Linked DNA regions of Mus musculus: region 2 is reported to be linked to region 1. Evidence: microRNA targets listed by miRTarBase, many of them from high-throughput screens and not tested one by one. Region 1 holds a microRNA gene; the other region holds the end of a gene's coding sequence.
Evidence for each region. Region 1 holds the annotated microRNA mmu-miR-107-3p (AGCAGCAUUGUACAGGGCUAUCA, at 1,162-1,184, opposite strand). A microRNA usually pairs through its seed, bases 2 to 8, with sites in the 3' UTR of a target mRNA and lowers its output. Matches are read on the target gene's strand: a 7mer-m8 pairs with bases 2 to 8, a 7mer-A1 pairs with bases 2 to 7 and ends in A, and an 8mer does both.

Region 1 (3,126 bases):
TGGAGAACGGACCAACATTGTCTGTATTGCTGTGGCCACTGGTTAAGAGCCCATGCTCTTGGAAATAAACCTTCACCAATGCTTCTGTTGCCTCACCCAAAGGGACTATGGTACCTGTGTTTAATAGACCTGGCTCACTCCAGCCAACTGTGAGGCAGGAGGTGACTCTGGAAAGCAGGGGAAAGGTCACAGTTGCTCAGTGGGGCAAAGATTTGTCACTCTGCAACTGACCTTTGAGAGCCATGAACACAGCCAGCCTACCCACATGTTAGTCTTACAGCTTGTTTGGCTACTTGGAAAAACACTATGCAAAGGTTAATGCTAGAAAAATAAACCCGGATTTCCAGTGCATCTCATGACCAAAGCGGACTTTGAGAAGACATGTCTTGGGAGCCTGATCACCAGCTTCCTAAACCCAGGTGGACTAGGGACTGCCAGTAAGTGCTGACTGCTCTCCAGGTGACAGGAACATACTCTACTCAGGGTTGTGTGTGGGAGGGGTGTTTTTTTGTAACCACAAAGCTCAAATCCAGACCGAGCATGAAAACAGATACACAAACAAACAGAAGTGCTTTGTACCCTAACGCTGCTTGGAAGCGACTCCCCAGATCCCCTGGAGCTGCAGTTAAGGGCAGCCGTGAGCAACCAGACACGGATGCTGGGAAGCCAAGCTCAACTCCTCTGCAGGAGAAGCACAAGCTCTTAACTACCGACCTGTCTCTCTAGCTCTCAAAAAGGCTTTGAAGTACCTTTAAAATCTCATTTTTTGATCTAGGTAGTGACTCGTGTGTGTGTGTGTGTGTGTGTGCGTGTGCGTGTGTGTGTAATATTTACGATACTTATGATTTGAACTATCTTTTGCATGCATGTCATATTTCTATTACAAACTGCATATTGACCTACTGTGCTTCGTATACGTGTCTCCTATTACCTGTTTCACTCGCCAAGCTCTTTTGCTTGTCTTCCTAACATGTCTCAAGGAGAGGACGGTTCTACTTCTCAACCCTTGTTCCTTAGAAAGGGGTTGCACTTTTCCCTTTCCCAAAAGAACTTAGCAATCTTTCAAAACTTGTTAATAAAGCTATGCCTGTCCTCAGTGCTACACTCTCCTTACGCCTGGGGGCTCTGGCTGGCCTTGGCTGTCGCGAGCTCTCTGTGCTTTGATAGCCCTGTACAATGCTGCTTGAACTCCATGCCACAAGGCAACACTGTAAAGAAGCTGAAAGCACAGAGAAAAATATCGAGTATTGCGGGTGGAAGCATTTTCTTGTTCGGTTATCTGTGCATACACCCAGGGCTTGCCTCACATCTCCGTGGTCTACGGCAGTAATGGCAGTTAGAAAGAATGGAAGGTAGACTGGAATTTTAGCCTGCTTCCATGCGGGTATTCATTTAAAAGTAAATCCTAATATCTCCCTCCTCACTCGCTGTACCCTTCTCATGTTCGAGAAGGTGTAACCACCTAATAAAGGGCAAGTTTTCTGAGAATGACAACAGTTCTTATATTGCCAAAGATGATGCAGGGGGGTGGCCCCTGGCCGTCTCAGGGTTTAAGCCTTACCTCATTCAGTGCACACATCCGAGCAATGGAGCCAATGTTGTTGGTGATGGTGACCAATGTGGCCCGGGCGAGGTCTTCTTTGCTGATGGACTCTCTCTTTTCTTTGCTCATCATGTTGCCAAAGCTATGTTGGGAATATCATTGAGAGTGTCAAAGTCATCCCCAGGCAGGACCCAAGCTTCCACCAAGGAACTCTGGGAAGCACTATGAAAAATCCTCCTGAGACTCAAATGAGCGGACTCCACTATCACGGCTCATAAGCAGACAGTATTACACTATGAATAGCTGGCTGCCTCCTTCTTAGCAAGGGACAGAGTAGTATGACTATTAACGGGAGAGAAACTTGTAATGCTTCTAGACTAGAATGGAATGGGAGAAACCATGGCACTTTTCCAGAACCTTCTTTCAAAGTTGCCTTATCTTAAGCACAAGTATCAAGTGGTAAAGGTTTCAGCGCCTCACTAAGGACAGGAATCAAGTCTGAGGTCTGACGTGATAGATATTTGCACCAGGCTGGTAGGCTGACATGTATTTGAAAAAGCTAGATGAATGGTCAGGGCAGAGAACCTGCTTTGTGTGGATTCTCTACAGCTCCTAGCCACTTAGTCTCTACCTTGATGCTACAGCAGATCCTTGAAGGCCAAATCGCTCATAGTCTCCTCCGTAAATGTCCTTCACCAGCTTATCCACATTGGTGCTGTCGCCTTTAGCTGCCATGTCCAGAGCTTCTTCAAAGGTCTCACAACCAGTCAGCAAGCAACATAGGCCTAGGAATGTCCCACCTCCAAGACTGAAGGAACAATAAGGTTGATTTTTAAAATTGTCGCTTTGTGATATGCCCATCCAAGTCCCCAGCTACACCAAGACTATTAATATGGCTTCATAAAAATGCAGAAAGACAAAGGGGCGCTTTGGTGAAGAGCAGCGGGGCACCTGAGTCAGGGGCCAGCGTTATAACCGAACTTAAGGGTGGACTGGATCAGAAAAGAGGGCAGCAGGTATGATTAATCGTCAAGGAAAACATGCCCCTAAATTTGAGAATAAAATTGAAAAAGACTCTCACTGATTTCTGTTGTGAGACCTTCAGCCAGCTACTAGCCTAAGTGTTGTCTGCCAGCCTAAGTTCATTTTGCTCACCTTTGAAAGTGGTCAAATCATGGTTTCTTCTGTTTGGGTAGTCTGATAGCAGCACGTTACCAGTGAAATGGATGATGTCGAACATCACATTCGACTGAATGAAAATTCACAGGGGAAGCTATGGCGTGCTCATACTTCCTGACTACAGAGCCAAGGCCCCGGGATGACAAAGTCGACTCATGGCTCTGCCCCAGCCTCAAACCCAGGTGGCCTTTCCAGACACCCTACTTCTCTAGAGTATTCATCTCAATCTACCTTGGGAATTTTGAGAGAAAACTACTGCCTCCCTAATAAAATAATGTTTTCTACTAGTCTTTGGGAAAGGGTATTGCTTATTTCTAATTACCACCCAACAGTAAAAGAAAAAAAAAGTCACAAAATGGTTTCAAGGCTTGACGAATGTTCTAAAAGCTTTCCATTCTTTCAAA
Region 2 (3,066 bases), not on the chromosome of region 1:
AGAACCATGACCAAAGGCCTAGGTCAGTTATGTGGTCAGGGCAGCTTGAAGAAAGGTGAGAATGTTCAACCCTTGAGTAAGTTGTGATACTAGAAGGTAATTTTAAGTCAGGTGTCTGGTAATCACATTAATTGTTTTTACGGAAGCAGCACTTCTTGTGTCGGGGTGTTTTACTTTAGTTCATGTCGTGCTGGTGACTTTTCTCCCCAAATAGAACTGTGGAAAAATTTTAGCCACCTTTTCCAAGACTTCCCCCAAGGTCCAGGGTTGGCCGTGCTATGTTTCACACCAGATGTTCTCTGTATTGCAGAAATGCCTGACGTTTAATCCAGCTAAAAGGATATCCGCCTACGGCGCCCTGAATCACCCGTACTTCCAAGATCTGGAGAGATACAAGGACAACCTGAACTCTCACCTGCCATCCAACCAGAGCACCTCGGAGCTGAACACAGCCTGAGGTTCCACGGGGATGCCCATGAGCTCGTCATCTGAACACATTGGCGGCTGCGAGTCCCCTAAGCAAGCCTCTCAGAGCAGTTGAAGATTGCTGGCTGCCAACCTTCTGGCTGCCAGCTTCTGGGTGGGCTCTGCCTTACCAAGGAAACCACCTAGTTTACTGTTCAGAGATCAATGCAAGGGTGATTGCAGCTTTATGTTCGTTTGTACACTTGTTTGTTTTGTCTGTTTGTTTCAAGAACCTGGAAAACTTCCAGAAGAAGAGAAGCTGCTGACCAATTGTGCTGCCATTTCGTTTTCTAACCTTGAATGCTGCCAGTGTAGGGTGGGAATCCAGGCCCAGCTGAGTTATGATGTAATCCGCCTGCAGCTGCTGGGCCTGCTTTGGTACTTGTGAGTGTGTGTGCATGCGTATGTGTGTGTAAGAGAGAAGAGGAGGGGAGAGAAAGACCCCTGATCTCGTCAAGTGTTACTTTTTTTTTGTAGAAAACAAGAATAATTGAGTTTTAAAGAGTAGAGGTGACTGATAGTAAGAAGGGCTTGTTCAGTGAAAGGTGATTCACAATGGAGTCTTGTTAGGAAGGTTGGACCTAAGTCCTCAGAGTTGCCTTCCTGTCCAAAAGCTTTTGCTAGCAGTAAACAATAAAGGTTTAGATGCCACAAAAAATGGGGGGAACCACAATATTTTTTAAGAGACTTTTTAAGGCATACATCTTCTATTTACTCTTTGGAAAGCTGAACTTAATGTGTCCCAGGCCCTATATATAGTACAGTATGTACTTAATTGTTTCTTTGGGGAAAGATGCTATAAGTATCTTATTACTTGCAATACATTTAAGGAGTGAGTGTACCTCAGATAGGTTTTAAAGATAGAGAGCACCTGTTTTCTGGTGTGAGATGTTATCATTTTCTTCACGTCTCTTGATACCTTGATACCTTGTCACCTTAGGGAATCACTTCCTGCTCTGACTAGAGGCGGGAATACCATCTAGCTGTCTCCACCACCCACCATGGCGCATCTGCCTTGTGCTGCCTTGTGTAGTGCGAAGCTCTCAACCACCAGCACTTCTAATTCATTTTCCTGCCACTGCCTGGCTAACGACAGATGGCCCAGCTGCCCCAATCCCACACCCGCTTGCACGCTTACCGTCTTTCACCGAATGCTTTGGGCGTAGGCTCCCATTCCGAAACCCTAACAGTATCCCCTTGTGCCTTTGTAATACAGTCTTCCCCCTGCCGCAGCTGAGGTCACCTAGGCAGTGAAGAGTGCTTGTTCTGTGTGTGTATAGACTACTACCGACTGTCACTTGGTGTTTCCTATCTTTAAGTGTATGTTGTCAGTGTAATGTCTGAGGAAATGTCTTTTCCTCTCTTCTAGAGATAACTACTTACTCTCTAAAGTGATCTCTCTGTCTGTCCGCAGGATGTGTTTCTGGGTTTTTGTTCTTTTTTTTTTTTTTTTTTTTTTTTTGTCTGAGGCCTCATGTCAGCCCTGCTTTCTGCAGAGCCAGCCTACCCTGGGCATTATAAACAACTGTACCTTACTGTTTTCTTTCAGTCCTTTACATTCTGTGCCACCTTTGCCTTATTATATCCGTGGCTTAGTGCTAAGCTGGCACTACTCCATAGAAGGTGTAGAAGGCAGCTTTCGGGAAGCGTAGCTGAGTTTTGTTTGAATCGTGTTTGAGCACATTTAAGTAAACGCTAGATGATGCTTCACTGTAGAGCTTTGAAAGACTGCCTGATGTTTCACACGGCAGTGTAGGCTCCAGATGGTGTTTGTATGTTATGGACCTTACTGTGTTTCTCGTAGCTGAACAATGCATGTGGTTATTTGTTTGTTTGTTTTTTGGTTTCTCTGTGTAGCCCTGGCTGTCCTGGAACTCACTCTGTAGACCAGGCTGGCCTCGAATTCAGAAATGCGCCTGCCTCTGCCTCCCAAGTGCTGGGATCAAAGGCGTGCGCCACCACGCCCGGCTTTGCATATGGTTATCTGTATGGAGAAGAATTAGATGTCTTTCCTGAGAGCTTTGGAGGTTGGGAATCATCTTCTTCTGTTTATTTTTATTTTTAACATTACATTACATTCTTCTGATTCAGTATCGCAAGAAAGGATTTTTTCTTTTTTCAAAAACAAAACTTTAAGAAGCCAGAGGCTAGGCTGAGAATGTTCTGCGCTCGTCCTCACAGCTCTGCTGCCGACACTGCCAACGCTCGAGACAGTCAGCCTGGAACCTCTGGGACAAGGTCTACTCGAGGTCTCACTTGGACAGCGAGTTCTGCCTTGTCATTGAACAAGGTCCAAAATACAGACATTTTTGCTAGGGCCTAGAAATCGACCATAAAACTCACTGCATTGAGGCCTAATCCATTCTATATTAACATCCATGTGATAAAGTGAAAATAATTTTGAGGGTTTTGCTTTCGCCAAAAAAAAAAAAGAAAGAAAGAAAAAAAAAGAAAGGAAGAAAAAGAAAAAAGAAAGGATTGTTTTCCTTAGCTTTGCTCAAGAAAAATACAGCTATCCTAAACTGGAATCTTCCCGTATTCTTTAGAGTCTTAAGTATAGAGTTTAACTTCACTTTTGTCAGCTGTCTTGAGCTTATTTCT

Region 2: miRTarBase lists Cdk6 as a target of mmu-miR-107-3p. Seed matches in the 3' UTR shown: 7mer-m8 at 766-772.

What each region holds. Positions count from the first base shown.
Region 1 is chr19:34,819,539-34,822,664 of GRCm38, forward strand. It overlaps Mir107 (microRNA 107), which reads right to left and starts at 1,235; the gene lies at 1,149-1,235. Pank1 (pantothenate kinase 1) reads right to left here. Exons shown (of 7, transcript NM_001114339.2): 4 at 2,175-2,351; 5 at 1,562-1,685.
Region 2 is chr5:3,520,335-3,523,400 of GRCm38, forward strand. It overlaps Cdk6 (cyclin-dependent kinase 6), which reads left to right. Exons shown (of 8, transcript NM_009873.3): 8 at 311-3,066. The coding sequence ends at 457. Among named protein-coding and RNA genes, the nearest start is that of Fam133b, 22 kb to the right of the region's middle.